Oryzias latipes: one gene and its partner. The protein of the gene in region 1 binds, or shares a complex with, the protein of each later gene. Links are inferred from orthologs where the notes say so. Each region holds a gene or a part of one and is shown in the gene's direction. Other genes may lie near its edges.

Region 1 (8,658 bases):
AGTTGGGTCATCTAGACCCACTAGACAGTGTGCTAAACCTTTTTTCTTCAATGATTTGTGAACCTCACTGGTGTCCATGGATTACATGAACTCTTTCCACCTTTATCCACCTTTGTCAAGGTCAATTAATGGTGGGGTCATCTAAGATAACACAAGGGTTAAAAAACATTTTCTAAGGCTTTCATATTTTTTCTGCACTAAATAGCACTGGAAGCCAAATGCATGGGAAATTATCATTTTAAAGCAGAAAATTTAGAACACGCTCATGAATTCATTGAGGCGGCAAGATTAATTTACAAAACTATTTTAACAGATGCTGTTTCTGTTTTTTTAAACCAAACTATAAAAAACTAATTTAAACAAACATCTGTGATGCATGACACCTTCATAGCCTGCATACCCTGCACGCTTTTCTAGAGTAAGATTTTCCAAATTGACACGATTGTCAAACAGAATGAGGGGATGAGAAACCTGAGGAGAAAGCTTACCTTGTGTCCTGCAGGGCACAAAGTGCAGACTTCACAGCGTACATTTCCAGAGAACACTTGCACGTTTGTTATCATCAAATTGTTATCAACCTATATTTATGATGTACTTGCAGGATAGTTGAAGAAGCTACTTTTTTTCAGTTCTTGGGGTCTGATAAGAAAAAATGATAATTTTGTTATCAGATGACACCTGTCCAGCAAGCGCATACAAGCTAGCAAGCAAAAATCATCTGTTTGAATTTTGACTTTGAAAATCAAAATCATCTTACGTAGTTCCTCTTGTTAGTTTTGACCACTGGTTTGCTCAAGTTTCCAAATCTTCAATGTGAAACACCTTTATTTTTTTTCATTGTGGATTTCTTCAGTCATAAATCTCATTGAATTGTTTTGCAAAATTGAAAAATTTGTGTCCCACTTCCTTAGTAGCTAATAAATAACCAGTTAAATTCATTCATATGGAGTTTTCATAGCTTCTACATTTATATTTACCATCTTCTTTACTGTAGCAAACCACTGGATTACCAGTTCAGTGTTCTTCACTCTGTACATAAATCTGCACGGAATCCTTCAGGTTATGTTGAGGATCATGTACCGAATGAGATCAAATACTTGCACTGGTGCCATCAGATATTGTTTTGTGAATGGATGAACAGGCTGGATGTGAAGTATTTGCTTCTGTGTTTATGACACTTCATCGGGCCACCGTTGAAAATAAGAATGCTGTTGTTAATCTGTTTTGCCTGGATCAATGAAGGTTGGATAAATAAATCATAAGTTTATTATAATGAGACAATGTTTTTTTTAAGGAATCATGACTTTATTCCAGAAAAGTTGACATATTTAGGACAAAGAAACATTTTCCATCTCTATCTAGTGAATGTAAGAAACAATTGAAAATGCATGGCTCATTTGGAGTTATGACATATTAGTACTAAAATAAAATGAAAAGGACAAATAAAAACGGTAGAAAAAAAAACACATGCACATTTCAAAGTCCAAAAGTAACACTTTCTACCCAAAATGGAAAATTACAGTGAGCATAGTAAGACAAGGGAAGAAGCTCTTCAAAATCTCCGCTGCTTGTTATAGTCTCCAGGCCCCGGAAGGCCTCGGGGGAAGCCGCTCTGTCCTCCTACAGGCATGTTGTTTGCTGGACCTGCCATCATCGGAGCGCTATCTGTAGCCATAGCAGCAGCATTGGCAGGTCCAGAATTCCCACCTAGGGAATTTCTGTTCATGCCCAACCCGTGACCACCCATGTGCATCATCATATCTTGTTCTCTGTTTTCAGAAAAGTTGGTTCTGAAACCCTCCTGCTGCCTCTTCATCATCTCCTCGTTGCGCATCCTCATCTCCTCCTCCCTCCGCCGGCGTTCCTCCTCCTGCCGGAGCTCCGCTTGCTTCCTCTTCTGCACCTCTTGGTTGTGGAGCTCTTCCATCCGGCGCAGCTCCTCCTGCCGCCTCAGCAGGTCTTGCCTCATCAGCATCACTTGATGCTCGTGTCTGGCTGCCTCCATCTCAGCCTCCAGCTTCTCTTGAGCTTCTTTCATGTTGCGGTCCACCATCTCGTACTGCTGCTTCTCCATCTCCATCAGGGCTTTCCAACGCATTGCATATTCATACTCAAAGGAGCCCGGCTGAGCAAAACGCGGTGGCTGCTCCCGTTCTTTGTGATACTGTTGGTTCTTGTTGATCAACTTCTCGGTCAGTCCTTCATCTTCGTCGAACTGTTCCATGGGCTCCACTGTAATGGGTCGGGGGAAGGCTGTGAGAAGATAGGCACCATCATTGCATTTATCCAGAGCCTTCCTGGCTGCGGGCTTTGAGGTGAACTCGACGATGCCTTTCCCCGTGGGCCTCCCCCTGTCATCCACAATCACCACCGCCCTCTCCACCTGCCCGAAAATAGCGAAAGCTTCTTCCAGGAGATCGTTGGAGGCAAACTCTGGTAAATTCTTTACACTCAAAGCGGCACCGTGCGTAGCAAACTTGACTCGGATAGGTCTGCCCCTGAATACATGATCATCCAGCTCGGCTCTGGCGATCTCAGCTATGATCCTGGTTTCCAGGCGGATGAAGCCGAAGCCTCTTTCTTTGTTAATAAAAATCTCACTGGCTTTACCATACTTTGCAAACAGCTTCTCCAGGTCATCTTCTGTGACGCCTGTGGGTAGGTTTCCCACAAACAGCCTGCTCCGCTGTGTGAAGGTCTTTTCTCCGGGTTTCCTGAAGCTCTGCAGGTCCATGGTTAAGGCCGCGTTGGGGTTGGTCTGCTCGCTGGTCTCCGGCTGTTGGCCATTGCTATTAGGTCCTTCGGTTTTGAAGTATTCCCCCTGGCGGTTGTGGCCGTGGTTATGCTGAGGGCCTCTGTTTCCTTGCATTATTTGACAAAGAAGTCAAAAAATCTGGTAAAGTGTGCTTTGAAAAGCAGTACAAGGGGCTAACAATGTCGTACAAAGAGTAACAAAAATGGCGACACGGTGCGCTGCTCTGACGGTTGTGTGACGTCACATGTAGGCGACATCTACTTAAAATTTCCTGACGGCATCTTTGTAAGACGATTTCTCTTAGAGTTTAAACCCCTGGCTCATTTTTATTTCTATTCTTATTCTTCTGTTTGTTAAATATGTGTATTTGATATTTGCAGTTGTGTTTTTATTGCATACCTAAAAGTATATCCTTGTAAAATGGCATATTGTGCAATAAAGTTTATTTAAAAAAATATTTGTAAAACGATTACATTCACGTTTTCTTTTAAAATGTTATTTTCATACCGTTTTTTAAACAAACAAGCAAACAAATAAACAATCAAAAACATTAATTAGATAAACGATATGCTGGAAAGACATAACTAACGTCTCGCGAGACTTCCCGATAAAAGCTTTAGCGGGCTATTCCGCGGGAACTGCGCTTTTTCTTAAAACATCTAAAAGGACTTCCCGTTTAAGGTATTGTTGTTCTACTTTTGTTATTTGTAGGGAAATGAGTCAGTGACATAATATGTTGTTGCTGTAAAGGGGGACGCTGAATCTTAAACATTCAACTGGTTAACAAGGATTTTAATGTTCCTTTACTTAATTCCTTTAAAGGAAAACCATGTTTTCTGACGTGAGCGCCCAGAAGAATGGCCCCTCTCTTCTCTGCAGCCCTGCCTCTGAGGAGCAGGGCCCTACCTTCGAAAGGATATCACTACCCTACGAGTTGTACTCCGATCGTTACAGAGTTGGTCAGAGGAGCTTTAGTCGTCAGTATGCTCACATTTATGCAGCAAGACTCATGCAGATGAGGCCCCTGCTGGCAGAGAGAGCTCAGCAGAAGTGGGGTGAGTTCATCATGTTAGCATGCCAGTTTAACCATCACTTGATTATCCAATACTTCTTTCCCCCTCTTCTCTGTCAGGATCTAATGTTCTTATCAAGAAACTGTGCGACCTAGAACCGGGGGAGCAGTGTTGTATTGTGGGGACCTTGTTCAAGCGAATGGAGCTGCAGCCATCCATCCTGAAGGAAATCAGTGAAGAGGTTAGGAGTCTGGTCTTTTTTGGATAAACAAAGCCACGTTTGATCTGTTCCTTTCATTTTAAAGATCCTGGACGTCTGTTTTTCAGCACAATCTGCTGCCTCAGCCTGCACGAGCCAAATACATCAGTGAAGCAGATGAGCTGATTTTAGAGGATGAACTCCAGAGGATCAAGTTGGAGGGCAAATTTGATAAAGATAAGTGTGTCACAGGTCAGTGTAATTGATGATATTTGATACTTTAATAAATTCTTTATGTTAAAAAAAAGTTGCCCCTCTTAGGTAGTGTCGTTGCAATATATGGAGCTGAAAAGAACGATGGCAAGTTCACCGTTGAGGACTTTTGCATGGCTGATCTTCCTTTACAGACACCAAGACCTGCGCTCAGCTCAGACAGGTGAGCTCAGGTGTGCACAGGTAAACCTTTGCAGTTAAGGGTTGCAGCTCATTAAAGCTTTGTCTTGGCACAGGTTTGTCCTCCTGGCTTCAGGACTCGGGTTAGGGGGCCACAATGCTGACAGCATGCTGGGGCTGCAGTTGCTGGTTGACATGGTCACCGGTCAGCTTGGAGACACAGGCGAACAAAGCGGCGCAGCAGCAATTTCCCGGGTTCTGTTGGCTGGAAACCTCCTGAGCCAAAACACCCAGGATAAAGACGCATCAACAAAGGTCATCCCCCCTGACATGCAACCACTTGACTTTCCTTATCATCTTTGTCCTTATTTTGGATAAGTTGACTTTTTGAACTTTACTTTTAACTATCAAATGCCTTTTTTTTCCTGTTTCAGGCCAAGTACCTCACAAAGAAGACCCAGGCTGGCAGTGTGGAAGCCATCCGTGTTCTTGATGAGCTGCTGCTTCAGCTGGTGGTGAGCCGGCTGTGTAAAAGTCATCTAAGATTAAACTATTACCAACGATAACTATAATATAGCAGGACGCATTTTGTTGTTTGCCAGGTCTTTGTTTTATGGGTTTACTTTGGCACCATTCAAACTCTTTTTTTGTTTTGTTTTATTTTCTTCTTTTATTTTGAAAAAATACCCAAAAATTAGAAAATTAAAATAAAGAGTAAAACATAAAAGAGAATAAGCATTTATGTATTCTTCTAGTTTAAATTCACTTTATTGCAAAGTTAAATAAACTATCAGCTGTGACAAACTCGTGACCAGAAATCAGAAATTCAAATCAATACATTTCACAAATGTTGACCTGTTTAATCAAAGCAGAAGGAAAAATAGTACATAAGTAAATAAAATGTCACATTTCTTCTAAAACATTTGATGAGTTTGTTTGCTATGTTTAAACTACTTTCCATGAAACCGACTGTTATAAACAGAATCAATAAACTTATCGTTTAAATTGTTGTCATGAAATACCTGCCAAAACCTGGTTTTATTTACTTTTTATCTTAATTTCTTTTATCTGCTGCAGTTCTGCATGTCACAAGGGTGACATGCAGAACTGCAGCAACTATAGAGGAATAAAGTTGATGAGCCACACAATGAAGCTGTGGGAAAGAGTAGTGGAAGCCAGGCTTAGGAAGAAGGTGGAGATTTGTGAGCAGCAGTATGGTTTCATGCCCCGTAAGAGCACCACTGATGCCATTTTTGCTTTGAGAATGTTGATGGAAAAGTACAGAGAAGGTCAGAAGGAGCTGCATTGTGTGTTCGTAGATTTAGAGAAGGCGTATGACAGGGTGCCGAGGGAGGAGCTGTGGTACTGTATGAGGTCGTCTGGAGTGGCAGAGAAGTATGTCAGAGTAGTTCAGGACATGTATGAGAGAAGTATGACGGTGGTGAGATGTGCTGTAGGTCAGACAGAGGAGTTCAAGGTGGAGGTGGGACTACACCAAGGATCAGCTTTGAGTCCTTTTTTGTTTGCTATGCTGATGGACAGGCTGACAGACGAGGTAAGACAGGAATCTCCCTGGACAATGATGTTTGCGGATGAAATTGTAATTTGCAGTGAGAGTAGAGAGCAGGTGGAGGAACAGCTAGAGAGGTGGAGGTTTGCTCTGGAAAGAAGAGGCATGAAGGTCAGTCGTAGTAAGACAGAATACATGTGTCTGAACGAGAGGGATCAAGGTAGAAGTGTTAGGTTACAGGGGGCTGAGGTGAAGAAGGTGCAGGAGTTTAAGTACTTGGGGTCAACAGTTCAGTGTGATGGGGATTGTGGAAAAGAGGTGAAGAGGCGAGTGCAGGCAGGTTGGAGCGGTTGGAGGAAAGTGTCAGGAGTGTTGTGTGACAGAAGAGTGCCAGCAAGACTCAAAGGAAAGGTGTACAAGACAGTGGTGAGACCAGCTCTGCTCTATGGGTTAGAGACGGTAGCAGTGAGACAGAGACAAGAGGCTGAGATGGAGGTAGCAGAGATGAAGATGTTGAGGTTCTCCTTAGGAGTGACCAGGTTAGACAGGATAAGGAACGAGTACATCAGAGGGACGGCTCACGTTGCCTGTGTTAGCGACAAAGTCAGAGAAGCCAGACTGAGATGGTTTGGACATGTTCAGAGGAGGGATAGTGGATATATTGGTAGAAGGATGTTGGAGATGGAGCTGCCTGGCCGGAGGGCAAGAGGACGGCCAAAGAGGAGATATATGGATGTCTTAACAGAGGACATGAAGTTGGCTAACGTTAGGGTAGAAGATGTTCATGATAGAGTGAGGTGGAAAAGGATGATTCGCTGTGGCGACCCCTGATGGGAAAAGCCGAAAGAGAAAGATCTTAATTTCTTTTATCTGTTACAAAGTGTCTCCTTTACCAACAATCACGTCATCTGCTTTGGTCACATCCTTTTTTTTTTTTACTTTATGAAACGGTATTATTTCCTGAAAACAGAGATATTTTGCCAGTCACTGAAACAATTTATTTAAACAATTTTTAGACAGCAATAATAAAACTAAATAAAGTCAACTTTATTTAGAAAGTGCTTAACAACGCTGGGTAAAAACAAAACAACAAACAAAAACAAACAGCATAAAATCAATAAATTAAACAAAAATAAATAAAACCCAATAAAAACCAATAAAGATCTAACTTAAACAGTCGGGAGTCCAAGACCTGATTCTTCAGGCAGCCAACAGTTTCCGGTGAAAATATTTTTATTGATCCCCTCATGTTGTTTCCTAGTTTTTAAATAACTGAACCAAGATGAGTGTGGAACCTCTCTAACAGCAAAGATCCATTATTTTATCAAGTAGAAATTAATAATCCATTGTAACAAATCTCTTTCTTTAAAAAGAAAAAAGGAAAAGTCTGTCCAAAAAGGATATATCTCCATCTAGTGGTTTGATAAAGGAATTACAAACAAACTCAATATTGCAGTTTATTTTGTTTATCAGCGTCTGGAGGACATAGTAAAGCACAGACAGAGCAGATGGGTGTTTTGGGAGACATTTATAAAAAAAACGGACTTTTGAATGTTTTGTGTAGTAATTGCTCACTGGTATTGCCTCTTTTGTTTTTTAAGGCTTCTGTTCCAGTAGATGTAATGCCGGGCCAGTATGATCCAACCAACTACACTCTCCCACAGCAACCTCTTCACCCATGTATGTTCCCCTTATCTTCTGCATACAACACCCTGCAGCTGGTCTCTAATCCATTTGAAGCCAGCATTGATGGAGTGAGGTACGCAGCATCATCATTCACACGATTTTTGTCATCAAGCGTCTTGATGCGTCGGGTTAAGCGTCTTGCTTAACCTGAAATGATCTTGCAGGCGTGTGGAAATTTAGACTCTAGGTTTTACCGAGTACCAGAGCAAATGGCCTAAAGCAGCATCAACCGCTTTATTGTCAGACAAGATTTTCATAGACTGGCCTTTAGGCTGTGATGGACATAAAAACTATTATTTTCTATTTTTAATACTCTGGGTTTGCAACTTTATCAACAATGACTTCCTAACTTGATAAAGGTTGGTAAATGCATATGTTGCTGAGCCTGCTTGTATGGGAGCGACCTATGAATCCATATTTTAAGTAGAGACTTCAATGCAGATTGTTTATTTTTTGAAGTTTCTTCCTCTGTGGCTCTTTTCTGCCTAAATAAATTTTCCAAATATGTTTTTTTGTTGTTGACTTTGCTAGCTTGGGGTTTTCATTTTGGCAGTGATGTACTAAGTGTCACGGATGTGATCAGCGTCTTTGAGAAGGTAGTGGCTGCAGGTAAGACACGTGACCAGGGCGAACCCTTTGACTGAGGGACAGACAGTTTTGGCAGAAAGTTTTCCAAAATAAAACTCAGTTTTGAATCAAATTGCAAGCCATGTATGCTTTTTTGTGAGGCCCGGTACCAATTACTCAGATCCTTCAACGATCAGAGTTTGTACCCTGACCTTAAGAACAAACTGTTAAAGTCCTACTCTGATCATCTTTTGATCTATTTTAAAATCAGTGGTCTTTAAGTATGATTATGCCGTTTTTAGAGGGGGGAAAAACAAGACTTTCTAAGACATCATTTCTGCAGAGCGCCAGGAGTTCATTAGAAATTTGGTTGTGAGTGAGACTGCTGGCACGGTGCCACGGTCCCCACTCTTCCCGTCATCGCTTTGTTTACATTCTGTCCCGCTAGCTTACAGCCCCTCACAACCCCATCCTAACATTAGCAGCGAAACAAAATGGCTTTTTTCAACAGCATTTTTGTCTGCTCCTGATTCAC
Region 2 (7,945 bases), on another chromosome or scaffold:
GGACATAAGACCCCTGTGCCCTTATGACAAGAAGTCCTCCATACCTGTGGATAAGTCCGAACTGGAAGGTCTTCCATTTGGAAGTGACAACATCACTAAAAGCAGAAAGATTTATGGCAGCATAGAACACGTAGGGACAAACTGTTTGACTATTCTTCAAAAACACGGCAGTTTTCTGTGTTACTCTGAGCTAAAGTCCAAGACAGAGTTGGACCTCAGTACCATGGACAGTAAAAGCCAAGTTTTGACTAGCATCAGCTCCTCGCCCATGAAAGAAGACGGGTTTGTGAATCCACAGAAAGAAGAAATGGGCCAGGAAACGGAAGAAGGAGATGTTGGTGAGCTGAAAATCAGATATGAAGACTATCAGGAAAATAAAACCGAGAAGACCATTGTGGCCCAACAGGAGGCACACTACAAGTTCTTCCCCAGTGTTATTCTCTCCAATTGCCTCAGCAGGAGGAAGGCTGGGAACAAGAAACCCGTGGACAATCAAGAACTGTCGCCGTCTCGGAGGTCAAAACTTAAAACGTCTAAGAAAAGATTAGGAATGGCAGGTCATAGAAACAAAACAAAATTAAGTCATGACTCCACGTCAACCGGTACATCTAACCTCACCTCCTCCAGCCTCCATTCTGTGACTGTAGAAACCGAGGAGCTCGTAGATCAACCCACAGTAGAAGCTCAGTCAATCGGAGATGAACCAATGGTAATTGTTAAAAAAGAATATGATGAAAGCCGTGTAAATAAACCAATGGAACCGGCGTCCGAGCTGTTAGTTTCAAACTCCACCATTATTACCGCTTCATCTGAGGTACCCAAAGACTTTAAAGAACAAATTCTAAGTCCAGATGAAGATTTAGCTGCTAAAGTTACATGTACCAAACCGTCAGCCTTGCCTGGAAGTAAATACTCCCTGAGGGCCAAACGTAAGACAGTTTGTGACGGTGAAGATGGAGAACACTCGGGTCCCACTCAGTCTAAGATCTCAAGCTCTGTCAAAAAAAGACTCAAGGAGACCAATGTTGCTGGTGGGCTACATGTCAAAGACCAGAAAAAACGAAAGAAAGAACCACCTATCATCATCAAGTACATTATTATCAACAGGTTCAAAGGACAGAAAAACATGTTGGTAAAGATATCCAGAATGAAATCAGGGGAGCAGTCAGTACAGTTGACACCAGACAAACTGGAGCAGTACAACAAACTTGCCCCTCTAAAAGACTTCTGGCCCAAGGTGCCCGAGTCTCCAGCTGTGGAGTTTCCTGTTATTGAGCTCAAAGCCAAAAAAACACCCAAAAGAAAGGTGAAGGTTAACAGCACAAACAAGAAGACACCACAGAAAGGCCTCAACAACACCTCCAAGCATTGGTTAAAACGAGGTCGAGGAGTCAAAAGGGCTAAAGGCTGTCAAAGAGGCCCAGTTCTGCCCTCTCTACCCCCGCCTCGACCATGTTACTGTGAGCTGACAGACGACCGGGACAATGACTATAAAGATGTCATGGTAGAACTGGGCTATCTCTCTGACACATCCCTAAGCCCTGCAGAATCGACACCTCCACGTTGTTGGTCACCAAGTGACCCTCTTATGTACAGTAGTTCAGAGCAATTGATCAATCCTCTTAATGACCCTTGTCTTAGTTCTGCATTTCACAAGCCACAAAAAATGTCTTCAACCAAAGGAGCCCAGCGTAGAACCCCCAAACCTAAGAAACCCCCTGAGACAAAAAGGAAAGTTCGAAAGTCTGCTGCTAAGCCTCCAGAAACAGACAAGCCCCAAAAAGAGAACTCAAAGAGATGTGCTGCTACTAGATGGACAAAGAAAGTTGAAACTAAAACTGGAAGTCCAAAAACCGCTGGAAGACAAAGAAGGTCTCGTAAAAAGAAAACTGGAGAACCAGAAATCTGTGATTTAAGTAAAGACGGCTCTCAGCTTCTGTTCCTTGAAAATGAGCCACTTCCATCAGAAGGTTCCTCTCAAGAGGTCCCACCATTTCAGCAGCCAGTAGACTCGGAAGGTATCAGCCAAGCTGGATCCCAGCCTACACCTTCATCAGATTCCAACTCAATAGCGCAGATTATTAAACCAAAGGTTGAAGACTGTGACACTTCGATCATGGAAATCAACCAAAGTCTTCTAGGACCATCTGAGACGAAGCAACAAGGTTGTCAGACGGTTGTAGTAAAGACAGAGGAGGAAAGCACACCTCCATTACTTTCACATGCTAGTCAGGCCTCACTTGAACACACTAAAGATACCAAGCTACCAGAAGTCTCTCCAAACTCTGGTCCAAAGAATGGGGAGACCCAACCTCTCCCTGATACCACCTCTGGCTTGGCTGTCCTTAAGCAGCTTCTCCAGAAAAGGCAGCAGGGACAGGCTCTTCCCACACAAGTAGTCGGTACCAACAGCCATGCTACTGTCGTAGCCAAGGCAACAGCACTATTAAGTCCTACAGCTAAATTACCCAAATCCAGAAAAGCTCCCTCTACAACTCCAAGGAAACCTAGGACTCCAAAGTCTGCCACTCCCAAGGACAAAAAGCAAGAACCAAGAGGCAAGCAAAACAAGAAGGCCAGGATAAGTAGAAGCCAACCCAATCCATTGCCAAAGCAGGAAGGCAGCTTTTTGGATGACTGTCCACTCTTCCTGTCAGACCCAGAACAAGATGGTTGCAGCTGCATGGAGGGGAGTTTGTCACCAGAGCTCCCCCACAACTACTCTTTTGACATCAATGATATCAGCCGAACGGACTTCTCCAGTCCGTACACCGGCAGTCAGTTTGTCCTGACTGATAAAAATCTACCTGTCAAATTCCTCAGTGACATCAGTCAGGAAGCAGTGTCTGCTCAGACTATTGGGTTTGAAGATCTTCCCCAGAGTCAAGTTTCATCTCAAAAAGGCCTTGAAGGGGACAAATCGAGGCCTGCAAGCCCTGACCTCTTTGACAAATTTGAGAGAAGACAGTCATCATCCAGCCTCGCATTGCTTGATTCTGAGAAACTGAAGAGCAGAGATTGGGACGGCACTTCAAATAAATTCAGCAATCGAAGCCCTTTTCAAGACTTCCACTGTGAAAGAGAAGAATTGCTCTTCTCAGCTTTAGATCCGGTGCCTCCGCTGGCTTTGAGCTCCGCCTCTTTGGTTGAGCATGAGGGCTCCCCAACAAGTGATCTTCTGGATGGCCTCGATGGGCTTACGTCCACCACACCCAGCAGTTCCCCTCAGTCAAGCTCCAGCTCTTTGTCACAGGCGAGGGCAAGCCAGCTTCAACGAGCCACAGGGGGTGGAGCCCACATCCTCAAGCCCCTGATGTCACCTCCAAGTCGGGAGGAGATCCTCAGCACTCTGCCAGACCTGGAGTTGTCAGAGGCCACCTTCCAGGAGCCTTTTTGCAGTGATCCCTCGGACGCCCCTGGTAAACCAATGTAAGAATGCAGAGCACACGCCATCTGCCCCATCATTACCAATGCTTATCGTGGTTTTAAAACTTGCATTGTACATTTACAGGGTAGTAGTTGTACAACTAATAAAAGAAATGCTACACAATTGAACCCATAACGTTCTGTGGACTATAGTAACTCTTAAACTCTTTACATTATTACATCATTTCAGTGGATTTTGAGGTGGAGAAAAGTGGCTTTGCATCGTTGAGCAGCTCTTTCACGTTAGTAATGTGTTGCATATCGTTGCAAAGCCACTTTAAAAGCTGCTTTGCTCCACGTCAGAATCAAATGATTCACTTTGGTGGCATAAAGATTTACGGTACCTTAAACGACGAGTGTTACTTATGTGTTGATGTTGACACGGTGCTCCTCCAGCAGCTGTGGGGAGTTGCTCTCCAAATCTTCTCACATGAACTAAAATCTGCTCAATCTTCTCTGCAGGGAGGTTGGGGGCCGTAAGCTGTCAGTAGAAACCCGGCTGGTGAAGGAGCTGGCAGAGTTCAGTGGGGAACTTTCCCAGGAGGGTCTCCGGTTCTGGAAGATGGCCTTCTCTGCCATGACACGCCCCGCTGCTGCCATCGTCTCTTCTCCCCAAGACGCAGAGGCAGCCGAAGAACTTGTATCGTCCTCGGCCTCCAACAAGAAAGTGATCCTGCTGCCCTGCAGGAACCCGCCGAGCCGCGAGTGCGTGCAGCTGTGGCTGGAAGCCAGGAGGCAGTATGAGAGCCTGCAGAACCGAAGGAGAGACGGAATACCTTCAAAAATGGGGCAGCCTGCTGGTTCTGCCTGTCCGGCTCTGAAGGTTGAACAGGGAGAGAACCAGAACCGGATCAGGACCCAGAGGAGACGCAACCTGAATCTGTCCTTGAATGTGACTCCAGTGAGGAACACGGGTTCGCAGTGCGGGTCCACAGAGCAAAGTCCGGTGTCAGAAGACGGCAGCAGTGGAGACAAGGATGAAGATCCTAAGAGCACCTCCCCAGACTCTCCAGATCTACCCCCGTGGCAGCAGTCTGTGCAGCCGAGTTCTCCAGACACGAACCGCCTCAGCGACCTCAATAGAACCCCAACAGAACGTTCACCCGGGATCCCAAACTTACAGGAGGGAGTCGGAGGGGCCAACAGTCCCTCTTCTCTTCACGGCAGTGATGTGGAGGATGATGGAGCCAGCCCACGCCTGAACTGTACCCCTTTCTCAAGGAAACGGCGTAGATTCATGGAAGACCAGGATCCGATGTGCAGCACGCCCATATCTGAGGGTGAGAGCAGGGTCTGCATGAAATATTTCTGAAAAAAAGAAGTAAAAGGATCAAAAATATCAGTTTTCTTTGAAAAAGACGTCAAAACTAATCAGAGAGAATAGGAGACCAACTATCTTTATCAAAGAGATAAAGATAGTTTTATTATCTCCTTTAGCAGACAAAAACATCCTTTCTTTGCTGTCGCAATACTAAATCCAAAGAAATCATGTTGCACCTTAGTCACATTCACATCCACCTATAGGGCAGTTGTGGCTAAGACTTCAAGTGGAGCAGCAAACATATACACACCAACCAAATTGTACATTTTATTCATGCTGTGATTTGTTTTGGAATCCACCGTTTTAGTGTTTCTTTGTTTTTGATTTCTTGTCTTCTAAGATTATTTGTTCACACGTCTGTCAGAACGCAGCTGCAAGCGTGTTGTTTGGTTAATATTTGTCATTTGTAGTCAAACTTTAAGGGATGTGTTTTTTTTGCTGTCCCGCTTTGGGAAAGGTTGCATCTAAAATGCACAGATCTCTTCTTTTTTCTGTTTATTTTTCTTCTGTCCCCTCTCTTTTGACCTTAAAAAATGTCCCCAAAATAACCTCTATCCTGTCTCTGTGCATCTGAACCAGCAGGTGTCACCATCTCCCTCTCTGTTCTCTTTCAGGAGATTCTGTTTCTCCAAGACTCCAGCGGAGGAGAAGCCAGGCCGATCCGCTCAGACGAGTCTTACTGACCACACAGATGAAGGTCAGGACGTCGTTCTGATGGTTCAGGGTCCTCCCACCTCCACCATTATCAAAGCTTCTTTTGTTCTTGGTTCTTCTCCACAGAACCAGTTTGCTGGCCTGAACGTGCCAAAGAAAGAACATTCTCAGATCGAAGGGCCGAGCATCTCCAACTCTTATGGCTTCAAAGTCAGCATGCAGAACCTGCAGGACGCCAAAGCTCTGCACGAGGTGACCGCCACTTTCTGCTCCATACTCAGCAGAAGACTTCAGCTCTGCCTCCAAATTCATCTGCAGGTTTTCCCTCTCTGCAGGTCCAGCACCTCACCCTGATGGCCATGGAGCTCCATGCCAGAACCAGGCGAGACCTGGAGCCCGACCCGGAGTTTGACCCCATATGTGCCTTATTCTACTGCTTCAGTTCCGACGCTCCACTCCCGGACGCAGACAGTACCCAGCTGACGGGCGCCATCATGGTGGATAAAGACCACGAGCCCGGTGGACGAGGTGAGGATTCATGTGAGGTTCATCTCCAGTTGTGGTTCTGAGGGCTGAACCCATGAACTGTCCCAGCAGGTCGCAGGGAGACAGCGCCACTCCTGGTTCGGTCCGGTGTGTCCGGGCTGCAGGTGACCTACGCCAGTGAGGAGAAGATGCTGTTCCAGGAGCTCGTTGGCATCATGAGGAGGTATGTTAAGAAAGATCCACAGCAGCTGAAGAGCAGAACCATGGACCTGAACCTGGGTTCCTTCCCTCAGGTTGGACCCAGACATCCTGTTGGGCTACGAGGTGCAGATGCATTCCTGGGGTTACCTCCTCCAACGAGCCGCTGTGCTGGGAGTGGACCTGTGCCAGCAGCTGTCCCGAGTGCCAGGTACAAGCAGGAGTCCAGTTTCAGAGCAGAACGTCTGTTCATGTGTCAGAGATGAAGGTCAAAAGGTTTCAATGAGACAAAACCAATGAACCCTAATGTTCTAATACATTTAACCTGCCAGAAGGTTTGGTATGATCCTTTCCAGCGGAGGTGGATGCTCCTCTGACACCATGTCTACTCCTCTTCTCAGGCGACTCTAAAGAAAACCGATTTGCTGCAGAAAAAGACGAATATGGCGCCGACACCATGACAGAGATCCACATCATCGGACGGGTCACGCTAAACCTGTGGAGGGTGATGAAGAGCGAGGCAGGTGTCAGCTGGCGTCAGCTTTTTTCCTAAATCTGGGTTTAGGTTTTTCTTCAGACTACTTACAAATGATGACCGCTCGTTCAGAAGTTTAAGACATTCGAAAAAATGTAAATCATTTTTAACTTAACTGATTGTCTCTTAGTTTTTAACTACATTAAAACTTGCTGGAACAAGAAGCTAAATAATAAATATATATTTTTCAATTCCAGAAATCAGATTTTAAATCTAGATAGTTTCATGAGGATCAATATCTTTTGCTGGAAGAAAGACCAGGATAAGAGCAAAAGAAAATCTGTTTGTCCTCTAGGTGGCGTTAAACAGCTACAGCTTTGAGAACGTGGCCTTCCACGTTCTCCACCAGCGCTTCCCCCTCTTCAGTCACCGCACGCTGTCCGACTGGTTCGACCACAACACCAACTTATACAGGTTCGTGGCTGTGCCTGACGCAATTTTCTGGTCTCACCTGTGAGGCTGGGATCTTAGTTTTCCAGAGAAGCCTCATCAGGATTTTGATGGTCCCTGCAGGTGGAAGATGGTGGATCACTATGTGAGTCGGGTTTGCAGCTCCATGCATCTCCTGCAACAGAACGACATCGTGGGCAGAACCAGTGAACTGGCCAGATTGTTTGGGATTCAGTTCCTCCACGTTCTGACTCGAGGTTCACAGGTACGGACTTAATGAACATTAGTTTATCTGATGATTGTATTCTGTTTGGGAGTTTACTGCATTTCTAAATGTTCTGCTTCTTCTTTAGATCATTTCAGCATCTTTATCTTTCTAAGTCGTAAATTTAAATAAGTCGTCAGCATAAAATGGGATCAAGCCATGCTAAGTTTTATTTTTACATTACCGATTCCAGAGGAAAACCTTTTGATCTAAGATCCAGCAAATCCATAAAGAATCTAATGATGAATGAGTCAAACTCGTGCCTGTTCCCTGGATTTGATGCCATTTGTTCTCTCTCAAAGCCATGGCTAAATATTGTATCAGGTAATATTAGCAGACTAATGATCTTATATGTTGGTAGATATTGCAGATGGATATTATATGATGGAAAATTCAGCTGAGTTTTCTTTTGGCGTTCTTGATCAGCTGACCTAAGAGAGTCACATCCTGAACTATTAAGGACATGGGACCTTCACCTTGAAAGCAGGAAGGTTCAAAGGGAGAGAAAAAAATTGACTAATACAAAAATAAATGCTATTATTATCAGGAAAAGTGTCAACAAAACCTTTTAAGCTGAGATACTGTTACCAACTTATTGAATGCATCGAGTTAAGCTTCAACATTCTGATCTTGAATTTGATGCCGACCAGAAACTTCCAGCAGTTTTACA

The links. Proteins that work in one complex are often made in the same cells at the same time.
Region 2: pold2 (region 1) and rev3l share a complex: the UniProt entries of both Homo sapiens proteins name them as parts of the tetrameric Pol-zeta complex. The link is inferred for Oryzias latipes from reciprocal best matches to the Homo sapiens genes POLD2 and REV3L.

What each region holds. Positions count from the first base shown.
Region 1 is NC_019867.2:18,718,424-18,727,081, reverse strand, and holds the start of pold2 (DNA polymerase delta subunit 2), read left to right. Parts: upstream 1-3,312; 5' UTR 3,313-3,436; intron 3,437-3,577; 5' UTR 3,578-3,584; coding exon 3,585-3,810; intron 3,811-3,887; coding exon 3,888-4,009; intron 4,010-4,095; coding exon 4,096-4,219; intron 4,220-4,288; coding exon 4,289-4,403; intron 4,404-4,476; coding exon 4,477-4,675; intron 4,676-4,794; coding exon 4,795-4,875; intron 4,876-7,471; coding exon 7,472-7,629; intron 7,630-8,658. Other genes in the region: nono (non-POU domain-containing octamer-binding protein), read right to left, coding at 1,553-2,869. UniProt on the Homo sapiens protein: Accessory component of both the DNA polymerase delta complex and the DNA polymerase zeta complex.
Region 2 is NC_019882.2:10,262,665-10,270,609, forward strand, and holds part of rev3l (DNA polymerase zeta catalytic subunit), read left to right. Parts: coding exon 1-3,429; intron 3,430-3,888; coding exon 3,889-4,706; intron 4,707-5,361; coding exon 5,362-5,444; intron 5,445-5,527; coding exon 5,528-5,653; intron 5,654-5,736; coding exon 5,737-5,929; intron 5,930-5,995; coding exon 5,996-6,110; intron 6,111-6,180; coding exon 6,181-6,296; intron 6,297-6,486; coding exon 6,487-6,605; intron 6,606-6,915; coding exon 6,916-7,034; intron 7,035-7,133; coding exon 7,134-7,275; intron 7,276-7,945. UniProt on the Homo sapiens protein: Catalytic subunit of the DNA polymerase zeta complex, an error-prone polymerase specialized in translesion DNA synthesis (TLS). Lacks an intrinsic 3'-5' exonuclease activity and thus has no proofreading function.